Linked DNA regions of Elephas maximus indicus. The protein of the gene in region 1 purifies or fractionates together with the protein of each later gene. This does not show direct contact. Links are inferred from orthologs where the notes say so. Each region holds a gene or a part of one and is shown on either strand. Other genes may lie near its edges.

Evidence for each region.
Region 2: the proteins of UBQLN4 (region 1) and GJA1 purify together in Homo sapiens (affinity purification with western blotting; 3 studies listed by BioGRID). This does not show direct contact. The link is inferred for Elephas maximus indicus from reciprocal best matches to the Homo sapiens genes UBQLN4 and GJA1.

The regions. Positions count from the first base shown.
Region 1 is NC_064821.1:193,862,679-193,870,448, reverse strand, and holds the start of UBQLN4 (ubiquilin-4), read left to right. Parts: upstream 1-4,650; 5' UTR 4,651-4,684; coding exon 4,685-4,792; intron 4,793-6,306; coding exon 6,307-6,458; intron 6,459-6,845; coding exon 6,846-7,063; intron 7,064-7,639; coding exon 7,640-7,770. Other genes in the region: ragulator complex protein LAMTOR2, read right to left, coding at 827-883, 1,155-1,244, 3,012-3,174, 3,453-3,520. UniProt on the Homo sapiens protein: Regulator of protein degradation that mediates the proteasomal targeting of misfolded, mislocalized or accumulated proteins.
Region 2 is NC_064819.1:188,743,561-188,751,508, forward strand, and holds the start of GJA1 (gap junction alpha-1 protein), read left to right. Parts: upstream 1-4,832; 5' UTR 4,833-5,040; intron 5,041-5,835; exon of another isoform or gene 5,836-5,914; intron 5,915-6,617; exon of another isoform or gene 6,618-6,859; intron 6,860-7,948. UniProt on the Homo sapiens protein: Gap junction protein that acts as a regulator of bladder capacity. A gap junction consists of a cluster of closely packed pairs of transmembrane channels, the connexons, through which materials of low MW diffuse from one cell to a neighboring cell.

The DNA.
Region 1 (7,770 bases):
ACGACCTCAGGCCTCACAGCAAAGGCATCCTGTCTGCAAAAGGCCTCAAGATCCACACATCCTAACTGCAATAATCTACCATGATTAATTATGTATCATAAAGTATAGATTTATCTTTATTTTTCAATAGTTTTCTTGTTATATTAGCATCATATATTAGTCTATCCTTTCTTGCATTATATTTGCACTATGTTCATTTCTATTAAAAAATTTTCTATTGACGTTAAAAAAAAAAGACCTCAAGATCCAGAGGTCTGAGAATGTGAATGCCTGGGAAAAAAGGAAGAGGGTGTCAGCCCCTTGGAGGTGGCCTAGGGGTACCCTCCCACTCCAAAGGTAGAAAAGGCACCACACCTCCCACTGCAAAGCCTGGAATGGACACTGAACTCCCAGCGTCAGATATTCTTTGTCCAACACGACCGCCATCAGGCCCTTACTCCTCTGAGCCCCTCCCAAGGTTCTGTCAGCCAGGTGGGAAGATTCTGCTGTGAGTGGCAGGGGCTAGGTGAGGTCACACCGCTGGAGAGGCCAAGGGAGTAGGGGCACCACTGCCAGAAACCATTTGGTTTTGGGAGATTGTGGTGAAGGAGGGGGTAGAAGTCTGCTTTGAAGAACATGAGGAATCCTACTAGCGATCCCTGCTCTTCCCACCTCCTCCCATCCCTCCCACCCAAGAAAGTAGCCAAACACAGGATAGGAGTTTAAGTTTATTCTTGGAAAAACAAAGTCTCATCCTCCCACCACAGCCCAGGCAGGTTTTCCCAAGGGGCCCTGCCCCTCCAAATGGTCATCTCTCTTTTCTGATCCCAGGTTCCGTCTATAGCTGTCATGATGCCGCTACCTGGGTGAGGGGCTCCTCCAGGTACTGCACCAAGGCCTGAGCCTGCAAGAGGGGGAACAGTTATCAGTCCCACCCTGGCCTTCCACTAGAGCAATATGGGATCCAAGACCTATACCCCCCAATGCCATATGCTCTGAACACCCAGTCTCAGCCTCAGCCTCAGTCTGCTCCTGGGAGCTAGACCACACCAGGCATGGACTGGGTGGACATGGGAAGGCCCCAGAAAGGTAGTGAGGGTGGGAATGGACATGATGATAAAGCATGAAGGCTTGGCCCGGGGTTGTGGAGGGATGGGTGATGGGCGCATACACACCTTGGCCTTGAGCATTCCGAAGCCCACGGTCTCCTTGGCATACATACAAAGCAGAAGGTTGGCCACTCGGGTGATGGCCACTCGGCCCTCCTGGTGGGGGAGGGGATATAATGGGATGCGATGCTCTGCTTGGCACTCTCAGCCTCCTCCTTCCCAAAGGGCTCCTCTGGCCCTAGAGGGACTTATTTTCCTTGCACGCCCTGGGTACAGCAGGAGGTTCAACTGGGGGGCTTTGACTATAGCCCTGGACATGGGGTCCTGAGCCTGCGTTCTAGCCTCAGCACAGCCATCTTTTAACCAAGTTGCTCTGGGAAACTCACTTAATCTCCCAAAAACTTGGTTTCTCTTTCTATAATCCCTACCTCACTCCAGTTGGTGGGGGTGCCAGTATACACTAAGGAGTTTGTATCTGCAAAGGGCTGTCCAGATGGGAGATGTTATTATTATGGGCTCAACCCAAGACACTGTGAGGGAGTTGGGAGCAGTAACCCAACTTATATTTCTCTTCTTTTCCCTTAGTGATGCTTTGCAAACTGCAAGTTTGACTACAGGGTTAAGAGATCTATTTAAAAGGTTGATCCGCATTTATGGGGAAAAAAAAAAATGGAGGGAAGAGAAATGAAGAGCATTGCATGTGGTAAGGGAAGTACCATCTCCCGAAACTTTTGTTTCAGTGAGTGTGTGTACTAGGCTGTGACATAAAATGTATTTTTTATGACCAGGTTGTGGTTTAAAAAAAAAGTTTTGACAATCATTGCCGTATAGCACTAGCTGTGGACTAGGTACCCTAGGGGTCACCTGTTAAACTGAAATGACATTCAGAGGGTAGGAATGAAGCAGGTAGCCAAGCTACAGTGGAGACCCTTCCTAGAGAGTTCGCTCTTGGGGCCTATTTAATTTGGTTCAGCAAACCTTCAGTAGATACCCACTCTGGGCTGGGAGTCAGGTGCCTTTCCGGGGCTCATCTCCTACTACTCACCTATGCTCATGCCACTCCATCCCATTAGCCTTGTTGTTCCTTGACCAGGCATATTCTGCCTGAGGGCCTTTGCATTTGCTGTTCTGTCAGAAATGTTCTTCCCCAAGATAGCCACATGGCTTGCTTCCCAGCTTCCTTCAGATCTTCAATCAAATATTACCTTTTTAGTGAGATTGTCTCTGACACTATTTTGCTCCATAGCATTTTCACCACCTAACGTACTTACTGACTTCCTGAGGGCTGGGGTTTTTGTCTGTCCTGTTCACTACTTCCCTGCTATTCCCCCAAACACTGCAGAGACTTAGTAAATATTTGTTGAATAAGGAGATACAAAGGTAAGACAGTCCCTGCTCCTATGGAGTTCACAGTCTTAACAGCCACTTCCCCTTTCTGGACTTCATTTCCTTTCTCTGTAAACTAAAAGGGTTCTACTAGGGTCTGGAGACCCTGACAACTTTATGGTTTTGTGAGTCAGTGAACTTGGGATGACAACACCTTGAGTCTGCACATCCCTCTGTAGTTTATATCCATTCTTTAATTTGATCTTCAAAAGAACCCAGTAAGTTGGGCAAGGGTATGTGTGTTATTGTTTTCACCTTAAAGATGAGGAAGCTCAGAGAGGTCAAATGACTTACCCAAGGTCTCACAACTTTTAAGTGGCTGGCTGAGACCAGAACCCCAGTGAGTCCTCTGGCCCAGAACCCCTTCCTTACCACCACTTAATGAATAAGGTCCTGCCTCTTATAAATACTGCTGCAGATCACCTCTTAAGACTTGGAGATCCTGTTCCTGGCCCTCCAACCATCCAGGATGGGGTCTGGGTAGCCCCCTGGGGATCCCCTTGGGGGATAGAGGAAGCCAGGCTCCCCTTTCCATACCATGCAGTCCATGAGAATGAATTTGAGATTGTCTTCATTAAACGCTTGGTTCCCATTCCGGTCATAGGCGGCCCAGATGTTACTCGCGATGGCCGCGGTGACCCGGGCGTCCGTGTCTCCGTAACCCGAGTAGGCTAGCAGCGACCCCTCATTATTCAGCAGCCTGGCGAGGGATATCAACGTGCTTAGAGCAGGGGAAAAAAACGCCTGAGTTCCCACCCCAACTCCTGCAACTGGCGCTTCTAGGAAGCAAGGGTCTGGGCTGAGTATGTCCCGGAACCTGCACCAACACCCAGCACGCCAGCTTCCCTTTTCTAGAAAAGCCTCTCCCGGCGGGTTTCCCCAGATGCTGCCCACTGCTGCCTCTTTCCTTCCAGGCGATCCTTCCCCACCCCTCCCTTTGAGAGCCCCGCGCCGCTCAAGTCCTCAGTCCGCACTCACAGGGTGCTCTGGACGCCTCCAGTGTTGGCTTGGCTTAGCACCTGGGTCAAAGCCTTGGGGCGCAGCATGCCTGCAGCACCTAACCCAAGGCTTTTCCACTCAGATACCCTGGATTTCCTCCCGCTGGGCTCCGCCTGCCGCTCCCCGTAGCCCAGCTCCCCTGCCCCGAAACATCCTGGGAGTTGTAGTTTCTTGGCCTGGCTATTGTGGGTCTGCTTTAACTCCTTCCCACCGCGGAGGGCTCTGGGAATTGTAGTTCCTTGTTGCCTCGCGAGGCACCCTGGGAACTATAGTTTGCCTTTCCAGTCAGTCCACGAGGTTATGGGGGAAAAGAGCGGGAGTAAAAGGCCCTTGGAAGTACTGGAAGGACATTTAACCCCTTCGAAGAGAGAGAAGGCGTCATGTCCGCTTAGCAACCCACGATTCAATAATAATAACAATAGAATCCCTGTATTTGTCAAGCACACCTTTGGTTACTTTCCAAAGCAGTTTTCTATCTTATGCACGATTCTGTGGGATGAGGCTATAGGCATTATTAGCTTGAGGAAACCTAGGCTCAGAAAAGCCACCTAGGCAAAGGCCAGATCCCTGACACCGTATTTAACAGTCCTTCATTCGGGTCACGACCCTCGGGAGAACAGGGTCAATCCTAGATATGAGACCCTAGGCGGACGTCCAGAGGTGGGAAAAAATTCAACCTCCAAATCGAGCAAGAGAAGGCCTGGAAGGGATCTGGGCCTCTCAGGAAAAGCCAAGTTATCACAGGGCACAGTGATAAAGCGGCGACACAGAAAGTCCTTTGTCCCGGAGCGGGAGTTACCCGCGGAGGGGGCGGGGTCAGCCTTGGGCCAGACTGGACCGCGGCGCGGCTCGGGCCAGCTTGGGTGGGCGGTGGTCTCTCGCCCGGAACCCGCCCTCTGCTCCCCGCCCCGCGAGTGAAGGACACGCCCCGCTCCCGCCCAGAGCCCCATCCAGGGGCTACTACCCTGCAAGGCCCTGTCCAGGCTCCCGAACCCGGGGCTTGGCCCTGGGCGGGCCCGCTGCAGTGGTCCCCCCGGTCCGCCCGGGGCGCTGTGGCTGCGGCTGGTCCGGAGGGGGCGGTGAAGCCTTGGGGAGGGGAGGGGAGTGTTGGAGGCGCCCGAGCCGAGCCGGACCGGCCGGGCGGGGAAGAGGAGGAGGAGGAGCCGGGGCGGGCTGGCGGGCGGCCGGGTGGTGGCGGCGGCGGCGGCGGCATGGCGGAGCCGAGCGGGGCCGAGACGAGGCCCCCCATTCGGGTCACCGTCAAGACCCCCAAGGACAAGGAGGAAATTGTGATCTGCGATCGAGCCTCGGTCAAGGAGGTAGTACGGCTGGCGGGGACCGAGCGCGGAGGAGGGGGGTCTGTGAGGAGATGTGGGGGTCTCTGAGAGACTGTCGGGACCACCAGGAGGGCCCTGGAGAGAAGAGCAGGGGGTCAGCAGGGACCCCAAGGAGCGGGAAGGAAGGAGAGGCGGGTAGGGGGCGCCCTGCAAAGGGTAGATCCGGGGGAGCATGGCGCGCGCGCGTGGGGGGGGCCCGGGGTTTGCCTTGTGGCCAGGGCTGGGGGCGTGGTGGAGAGTGAAGAGGGGGCACCTTGCACCGGGAAAAGGGAATGACCCTGGGTTTGAGGGGAGTGTGCGCTCGGGTGACCAGTCGGGGTTCGAGGCGCCAAGGCTGAGCGGGGGGCACCGGCAAGGTGCTGAGCCAGAAGGGGCCAGGGCGCAAGCCGAGAGCGCCAGGCGCCTTCTGTATGCCTCCCAGGACTCCCAGCGTTTTGGGTGAAAACCTGCGGCGGTGGGGAGAGGATTTTCCTCTGCCCAGATCCTTTCTACTCTCAAATTGAGGTGATTTCTTTTGATTCTCAGCTCCTCAGGTTTTTACGCAGTGTGCAGTAGGTGCTCAATAAACAATTGTTGAAATATAGAATATCGCTTGTGTTCTTCACCCCCAGTGGCTGCTCCAAAATTTCACATAGGCGGGGCTTAAGATAGGCTTTCTGGTTGGAAGAGGAGTCTTAACTGTCTTTGCTTAGCAAGTGCACTGTTTTTACTTGAGTGTTTTTTTTTTAGTGGGAGGGGCTGATAGAGTTTGGGGATTCTAGGTCTCCCTCAGGCAGCCCTTGGTGCCACCACTGCCTCCCAACCTTATAAAACCACTCCATTCCAGAATTTAAATCCTTTTCCCTGCACAGCTGAATTTGAAATCAGCTCCAATTGAGAGGCAGTGTGTCTGAACGGTTAAGAGCCTGGTCAAAGCCCAATTCCCATTCTGCTCAGGATAAATTACTTAACCTCGCTGATCCTCAAATTTCTCGTCTCTAAAATGGAGCTAGTCATTAGTACGTATCTTATGGGACTTAGACGGTTAAGTGGTGAGTAGTAAATATTCAATGACTGGGATCTATTTGTTGTAGTTCAGGAACGCTGAACTGAGCAGAAACTGAGACTAAGCGGAGGAGGGAAACTTGAGGTCTGAGAAGAAAAAACTGAAGGAAGACAGTCTGGGTCCAAGGCTGTTTAAGGAATTGGGATGAGGAGGGCTGCCCAGGCAGCACCCTCACAGGAAGCTGGGTGGACAGACTGGAGGTGGGATGGCAGATAGCAGCAAGGACTTTCTAGGGTAGAAGACCCTGGGATGGAACTGAGAGAGGAGCCTCTCAATAATCCATCTCCTTGGGTAAGAAAGGAGCTGTTTATTGCAGCTTGAGACTGAAGAAAGGACTTCCCATGACTAGAGGTGGGAGCAAGGGAATGCAAAAGCTCTTAAAGAAGAGGCAGGGTCCCTAGTGGGTGGAGCCCAGGCACCCTCCACAAGGACCTCTGTCTCTTGATCCCAGTTCAAAGAGGAAATCTCCCGGAGGTTTAAGGCCCAGCAGGACCAGCTCGTCTTGATCTTTGCCGGCAAGATCCTCAAGGATGGGGACACACTGAACCAGCATGGGATCAAGGATGGGCTCACTGTCCATCTGGTCATCAAGACCCCTCAGAAGTAAGTTCAGGAGATAAGCAGGCCCAGCTTCTGATTGGGCCTCTCACTTCCACATCTGAGGCTTTCTCACCCATCAGCTCATCCGAACCTAGAGGGCCTATGCCAAGGCCTGGGAAGGTGGCTCCTGGATGAATTTTCAGGCAGGCTATAATCTCACCTCCGAAGGGATCCTGATTTACCCCTCCCAGAATGCCCTGAAGACAGATAATACTAGCTCCGCCCTCACTCCCTAGTTTACTGACCTCCCCTTCCCCTCCCTCTTCCTGCCTGAGGGTCATAGTTAGGGTAGTAACTGCCCAGCCAAGAAAGAGCAGTCTGATCTTTGTGGTGCCTTCCTTGTTCTTGGGGTGTATACTCCAACCAGGATTCTCCTTTCTCTGTCCTCAGGGTTCAAGATCCGGCTGCTACCACTGCTTCTTCCCCCTCCACTCCTGACCCTGCCTCTGCACCCTCCACCATGCCTGCTTCACCCGCCACCCCTGCCCAGCCCTCCACCTCTGGCAGCACCACTTCAGATGCTGGCAGTGGAAGCCGGAGGAGCAGTGGGGGGGGGCCCTCCCCAGGGGCTGGGGAGGGACCCCCCAGTGCAACTGCATCCATACTCTGTAAGCCCCTAGAAAGGAGAACACAGTGCTGTTTTGGTTTGGGAGTTGGGGAGAGTCAAGAGGAGGGAGAAATATGGTCCCTGATCCTGGTCTGATAGGGTAGGTGACCCCTGGACACAGGGCTCTAAACACTGGTATTTGAGCCAAACCAGGGAGGAGACTACTCTGTGAGGGCTTCCTGGAGGAGGGGAAGTATTAAGAGTGAGGGGAGAAATGGGGCTGGGGACGTGGGGAACCCTGGGTGAGGATATTAAAAGAACCTGTGAGTTTGGAGAAATGATAGGCCCAGCAGGAGCCAGGATAGGGAATATTTATTTACTTAGACTGTCACTGATTGCCCGCTCTTTGCTAGGTGCTGTGCTCAGCTCTGGGGTAGCCTAAGCCTCTGCAGTCCAAGAGGTCTCAGTCTAATGGCTCTTCGCGTGGATCAGGGCTAGGCTGTGGGAGTAAGTGGAAAAGGGAGCTGTGAGAAGCAGAGAAAAGATTGGGCCCACCCTGGAGATCTGTATTCAGTACCTTTGGCCAGGTAGGGGAAAGGCCACTTGAGTAGAATGTGACCCTGTCCCCTCCCCACAGCTGGCTTTGGGGGCATCCTGGGGCTGGGCAGCCTGGGCCTGGGCTCTGCCAACTTCATGGAGCTGCAGCAGCAGATGCAGAGGCAGCTGATGTCCAACCCTGAGATGCTGTCGCAGATCATGGAGAACCCC
Region 2 (7,948 bases), on another chromosome or scaffold:
TGAAGTTCAACCTTGATACTGTGTTTTTCTTCACTACATCATTTATATGTCCTCACTCGTGTCTAACACAGTTCCAGAGACATAATAAATATTTGCTGAGTGAATGAATGTAAGCATTCACAAATGATCATAAAAATTAACCACGCTTCATAAAAAAAGGTGAAATTAAACAAACATGAAAGTCAGTATTAAATGATTTACCAGTTACTTTTCGCGATGTTCATTTTCACTCTGTACAGAAGGTGGAGCCAAAGACAAATTTATCCACTGCCTGGTATTCTTTCCCATTAAACAAAAGAAAGGGGAAAAAAAAAATTCTTCCCTCCCTTGACAAATCCTTTTTGGTGTAGCTGCAGAGTAAGATTCACTTAGAGATAAATGTGGGCTACAGAAAGGCATTTAACTTTTACCAAGGTAAAGTCAAGCTTTGACCCTGAAATCTCTCTCCAGGATGATAGAATACACTTTGGAAGCAAATTGTCAGACCTCAGAAATAAACCTGTTGAAAAAAGGATACTAGCACAAGTTGGTGATATAATGTGAAATCTTCACTACTGTGTATCGAAATTTGGTTGACAAATGGTCAATTTAAGAATACATTTTCTGGCTGACTACCAATCTGAGTAGAGTGTTTCTAGACTTGCATACTATTGAGCTCCAAATTAGCCTTCACTCCTTTCTTTCTGTTCAATCAATATTAGATAAAATGGAAATTTGGTGCATAGATAGGAAATTCATTTACTCTGATGTTAACAAAAAGAAATCCATAAGAATGCTAACTTATTCCATTACAGAATCATTCTAGACCCTCCCTGTCTTAGATAATCCTTTTATTCTTCTAGGGTTGCCTTTGAATTCTCCTAGAGATACAGCTGACTTTGTCAAATCTGTTCACCTGACCCTTACCTCAGAGTCAGCTGATACCATCACCAAATGCGTTTTTTAATGTCCATCCTTTCCACCTCAAAACATCTCTTTCTTTATGGTCTGCATTCACTCTTGTTTTAAAGGAATATTGTCCTTTTTTCAGAGTTAATGACTCACCAAGTTCCCAAGTGATATTTTTCTTACTAACAATCCCACATGTGGCCATTTCAAATACCCCTTCTTTTCCCTTACACCACCTGTCCTCCTTTTTTTTTTTTAAGACTGCTTTAAATGTGGAAATCCTTAGGAGCCTGGTGGTGCAGTGGTTAAGTGTTCGGCTGCCGTTGGAATCCACCAGCCACTTCTTGGAAACCATATGGGGCAGTTCTACTCTGTCCTGTAGGGTCACTATGAGTTGGAACTGAATCGACAGCAATGAGTTTGAGTGGGTTTACCACTACAATACTATCCTAACTAGTTAATTACTACCCTAACTATTCTCTGGTTGCTGTGGAGTCAGTTCCGACTCATGATGGCCACATGTGTATCAGAGCAGACTTGTGCTCCATAGGATTTTCAATGGCTGATTTTTCAGAAGTGGATCCCAGGCCTTTCTTCTGAGGCAACTTTTCATTAGCAGCCGAAAGCACTATTTGCACCACCTATGAACTCCCTCTATAGGGTTTCCATGAGTTGGCATCAACACCATGGCAACAGGTTCAACAGGATGGACTCCCTCTAATCTACAGCTACCAGCTATTCTTGAATGTTTATGTGCACCTCACTGATGTGACAGTAATCCACCAGAGCTTTTATGAGATAAACATTGAAAGTCCTTAAAAATTAATCTATTCATCTCTTAAAATTCCAGAAATCATTATTTCCAAACAAAGGTAAAAACTGAAAAGTGCATTTGGTCCTCATATTAAGAAGTGCTTCTTAAAATTCTGAAAAATAGTCAACTCTCCACTGTGTCAGTAATTTACATTTCTCAATGCATAGAACAACATGCGTAAGACAGACTCTAAAGCCTGGCCCATGATGGTGCCTGAAGACATCCTGGAGATGACAGGAATTTTAAATGTTCAGTGTTGCCTGGCTGTAACTATTTCCCCGGGGAAAGATAACATGCTTGGTAAAGTAAAGGGTCAGCAAAAAAGAGGAAGACCCTAGATGAGCTGGATTGACACAGTGGCTGCAACAATGGGCTCAAACATAGCAATGACTGTTAGGATGGCACAGGACCAGGCATTTCATTCTGTTGTGCATGGGATGGCAATGTGTCAGAACCAACTCCATGGCATCTAACAACTAACGTTTTTTCTGCACATAGACAAGGTCTGGCAATCTGGAAGTCAGTGTTTGTATTAATGAAACGGCATTGGCATTTCTGAGAATATGAGAGAAAAAAAATCACTTTTTAAAATCTCTGCCACAATTTTTACAAATCTTTCTAATGGAAACAAGCTTTTAATGTCAGGTAAATGGGATACTTTTTAAAAACTACATTCTTGGTTAAACTATAAGTCACCAGCACTGCTGGAGTATGAGGTGTAACAGGAGTTGCTATTAGCCCTTTGGAGACGCTGCTAGGTGTCTGTGAGAGAAAGCTGTGTCTTCACCATTCCAACAGGGAAGCCATTCACAGTAACCCAGCTCCCCGTGAGCATTATGACTCATGGGATCACAGTTTGGTGCCATTATTTTACAAGGAAAGAAGATCATAAAGAAAGTCTTCGTCTTCTATGAATAATCACGGGAAAATCATTTTGGAAATAGAAGACACAGTACATTCTAAATGTTAAGAGAATAAATTAGTTAGTGGCTCATGCCATATTACTTCAGAAACTGTTTCACGTGATATCCATGAACAATGTCGTTTGGTATAAAGAATTTCTTTAGTTCTATTTCCAATTGGTCATACAGGTTACAGGTTTAAAAAGAAATAGCAGAAAACTTAAGATATCCATACTCTTTTAGAGACCTAATAAAATAGAATTCAAAATAAACACAATCTTTTGCTTTAAAAATCCTGTCATAGAAAGCCAATTTTAACTTTTCTTCATATAATTAACTCTGAATCAGAACCTTGAGAATTCTTTTAATAAAATGGATAATATCAGTAATAATTGTACTTTGCAAAAGTAAGCCAAATAATTACGTAAATTAACTTCAAGCATAACCTTTTTTTAAAAAGGGGAAAAGATTTTCTTATAATGAAAAGAGTGAATCATATATTCATGAATGTGTTCTGAACGCAAGGAAATAATTTTTAGTTAATGCAAAAGAAATATGCTTTTTTGAAGGAAAGGGCAATATGAATACAAAACCAACAACAATATGTACACGTTGTTGATCTTGAAGACTTGAAAGTCTGATTACCATTTCTATTTCCATAACATCTTTTTTTTTTCTCCTTCCTTAAAGAAAAATATACCTTTGGAAACTATACAGCTAGAAAATGAGAGAGTGCAAAATCATGTCTTAAAACTATAACATTTCAGAAAATGTTTTATTAGTCACTTCAATGAAAGTATATTTAGTGAAAGGTATCTTCCAGGAAATACTTGCCATTCTTCTTTTCTCTGGTATTGGTATAGTGTGAAAAGTTAAGAAAATGAAACCTGGTGAGTTTGCTTTGTTTGCGAGAATAAATACTGATAGACTTTCCTGTCCACTCTCAGGAGTATCACTGAAGCCTGTTTATGGGGATTTGTCCCACCACAGCCCTCTGCTCTGGCATCTGGGGAGCCCTTAAAGGAGCTGCCCTGTCTCAGAATGAAGTGGCATGACTCAGGCCATTATACAGACTATGCAGAGACCTGAAGAGGTAGAGCCATGGAAGCGGTGGATAAGCACATAAAGATTATATGCACAACTTTACTGTCGATGGGCAGAAAACTCTCTAGTGGGTTTTAGAGAGAGAGCTGGTCTTAAGGAGAGTCAAATAGTTTTTGGACTCACTCAATGCCTACTTAACCTATCAGGCAACTTTAGCCTGTGTTTGATAGAAATAGCCTCGTATTTTCACTACAAAATATTTAGTTTTTAGTGTTGTTGCCATGTAGGGGCTGAGAGCATACTATGCACTTTCAATTCCCCGGAGATCTGGTAGAGATTAGAAATCAGTATTTCACAGTTTAACAAAACTGATTTTTTTATATATATATATGCTAAACTGCTCAACTGCAGGAAAAAGTAAAAATTCTAAAGTGCCAAAGGATTTAGAAGGTGGATTAAGGATGGATAGAAACCAAAAAAACCAAACCCACTGCCATCGAGTCGATTCTGACTCATAGCGATCCTATAGGGCAGAGCAGAACTGCCCCATAGAGTTTCGAAGGAGCGCCTGGCAGATTTGAACTGCCGACCTCTTTGTTAGCAGCTGTAGCACTTAACCACTACGCCACCAGGGTTTCCAAAATTCAACCATATATGTCCCTTTTTTAAATGTTCCTGCCCCATCCCCACCATCTCCTTTGTTGTCTCTACCTAAATGAAGAGGAAAAGAATTAGATCATCCAATAGGTCATTCACACCCACCTCTAACTTCACACACACCTTGGCCGATATGAAACAAGTTTACACTGGTTAAATTCTTTGCCAACATTTTTTTTTTTTTTTACTCTAAAACATTTTTCTCTTATTTTCAAAAAGGTGATAACATCACAAAATATACAATTTTTCATTTTCGCTGGAATTTTGGTGAAAAAAGGACTAAAATCCATCGTTGTTATCTGTAAGGAGTAACTCTCAGGAGCGGCACGTCTCTGTTTAATGAGATTTTGTTTTTTTCTCATCAGCAAATTTAAACCACAACTTTATCTCAACCTAGATACTCTTCTCCCCCACCCTTCCAAGTTCACCAGCGTCCTCTGGGCTCTCCTCCCCGCCTTTCCTTTTTCCCTCCCCTTTCTTCTAGCCCCTCCTCCTAGTTGAGTCAGTGGCTTGAAACTTTTAAAAGCTCTCTGCTCCAAGTTAGAAAAAAGCTTTTGGGAGGTATCAGCACTTTTCTTTCATTAGAGGGAAGACGTGAGGAAAGTACCAGCAGCAGCAGACATTTAAACTTTAAATAGACAGGTCTGAGTGCCTGAGCTTACTTTTTTCATTTTACTTCATCTTCCAAGGAGGTCAATCACTTGGCGTGCCTACTTCACTTCTTTTAAGCGAAGAGTAAGTGAAACAACATTTTACCTATTAGTTTCTTTTTCTACAAGTAAGACTTTTCTAAAGTTTTTAAATGTGTTAAAAAGTAGCTTTGACTTATTTAAACTGTAATGGAAGAGTGAACTTTAAAGTGTTTCTGTAGTTTTAAAGTTAAATTGTACTGAATTTATATTTGACTCTTAAAAAGAGTTTCTACTAATGATGCAACAGGCAAAATGAGGTTCAGATCTTTCCTATTAGAAGAAAGAACTAGTTTACTGAGTATCTGGTACTTCATTTTGGAGTATAATTGTCTTAGAGTAAAATTTTGCTTTTTGGTAATCAGCGATAGTCTAGGGGCTCTGTAATTTGTTGGGGGGGGGCCGAGGAGCCTTGGTTGGGGAGGTGACTGACAACAGCCCTAAAATCAAAGTGTAAATTTGCTTAGCGAGCTTCCTATAGCATTCTACACTGGGTGCTTTTTCATATGGAAATCTTGATTGATGTTCAATAGCCTTGCAAAGCAGATTTCTTAACAAAGTGCTTTGTTAAAACCTTGCGGTTACTTGACTTCCACGTGGTCTCTTCCTAGGATTTTTTCTCCCAGTAAGCAAAAAAAAAAAAAAGTATAAAAATCAGACTTGTAATATGGGGCAGAGTTGTAATAGTAAGGTTTGTAAAGCAACAGTGTATAGTTACTGTGTTAGCCACTACTATGGAATTACTATGGAAAGATTTGAGACCCTCAGGAAATGAGGTTTATCCCGACCACGTTGGCAATTCAGGAGATGAATTCCCTCGAGTAAGGTAGCGGTTACTTACAGAACGTTAGAAGACAACAGACGTCAGAAAAATATATACCACGGTGCATTTCCAAAACCATGTCCAAAGACGGGAGCTCCTAGAAAGTATAGGGAAAAGGGAATTTCTTAAACAGCGCCTCAGAGGGAGCTGACCGCTCCGGCCCTCCCCACCCCCCACCCCCCCCGCCCGCCGCCCGAACCTTTAACAGAATTGAGAGCTCTGGGCGACTTTTTAGAAGTTCGAGCTGCCAGGGTGCTTGCCAGTAAGCCAAGATTTATTTATTTTTAAAATAGTTCAATTTTTGAGTGTTCTTATTGGTAATACACATTCGGTTTACCAGATATGCAACCATGGATTTTTGCGCCCGGAAAGGATTTTCTCTGTTCTGATCCACAGACTAAAGTAATTAAATTCTTGGTGTGACCCAGAAGTTTGAAGTATTTGCACCAGAAAATGCTGAAAAGCAATAAAAATGAAACCTTTGCAGTGGTCGGGGGCCGGGGCGGGCGCCGGGCGCCTCCTGCCATTTTAGCACCCGCCGGGCTCACCCTGGATTCCCGCGCAGCCCAAACCTCTGGGGGGGTTTTGAGATGTTTCGTTCAAATCCCTACAAATCAATTCTGAGTTCCGCCACTGAAAAGGAAGCGGTGGTAGGGAGAGGAGGGAGCTGAGAAGGAGATGGGCTGCATGCCAAATGGTAAAAGAGGAGCAAGTGATTGACTTAATTAAGCTTGTCAATCCAATTTCCCATTCCTCCCACCCCAACCACAGTTTCCTTTTTTTAAAAAAAAAAAACTTACCGAATCCTATGATATTTGCATTGGTAAGGAAAACCTGAATACCTGGGGAATTATCGTGCTTAAATTGCACTTGTAGCTCTCCTGAAAATTCTCGAAACTCCCCAGGAACCAGTGGAGGAGAAAAAGCCCCATAATGAAATGAGGCAAGAGATAGTGACTTGTCGTCCAAAGGTAAATTAGTATTTGATTCAGTGGATCGGCCACACATAACCTCTTAGTTACACATAAAATGTTTGCTGAGCATCTCTGATTAAGTTCCTTGAGAAGATGTCCTTGACCAACGTCACATTCAGCCTGGTCCTTACGGACTGGGTGGTGGGAGCACGTGAGCCACAGAACGTGGTGAAAAGAGTCCAGACACTGTTTGGAGGTGAATTTAGTTTCTCTTGCTTCCTGAAATAAGTCAGTAAGGAGAAGAAAGGTGTTCAATATTACCTTAGGAAAATTGGGCACACAAACCCAGTTGTAAATGTCTCGTAGCAATTTAAAGAATAGATTATGCAAATTTTAAGGAAGCCTATTTTAATCTTTAAAGGATTACTGAGGATATAAACCTGTGACAAACCAAACCCTTTGTGGTCTATTCCAACTGAGCAACCCTACAGGACAGAGTAGAACTGCCCCATAGGTTTTCCAAGGAGTGGCTGGTGGATTCGAACTACCAATCTTTTGCTTAGCAGCGGAGCTCTTAACCACTGCACCCCCAGGGCTCCAAAAACCTGTGATAGTGCAGTGAAAATCTCATTAAACTAACCCATCCCCAAGAATGTACCCTTGGGAGAAAAGTGATTCATTCTTCTGGGTAGGCCGAGTGGATCAAAAATCATACCAAAGGCAGAAAGTAGATTCTGTTTCCTGGCATTGTTTGTTGTTCCTCTAAGTGTGGCTGTGTTGTACGTCCCAAAGGCAGGATATAGTTATTATCACCTGTACTTTTCCTGGAAAAGGCAGTGGTAGTGTCTTGCTCCTACTTTCTTCACCCGTGTAAACATGCTCTGCATTTTTTTGTTTGTTTGTTTGAATAGCCTTTTGAAGTTTATCACCAGAGCTGTCCTATGCACTCAGTTCCTCACCCTTTATGGCTGGGATTCCTACAGTGTTGACCGTGCATGGGAAGCATGATTCTAAAGATACACCTCAGCAATCATCTAAAAGGGTGTGACCTCTGATATTGAGGGTGTTTTGTTATTTAGATATTTCCAATTCTTGCATAGGGGAGGGAAAACTCATTTCTTTTAAAACATCCAGAGGTGTAGCTTGGCATGACCCTTTTAGCTTTTATATATGATACCCTGGTGGAAGGAATGATAAGAAAGTCAGCCATGATTAAG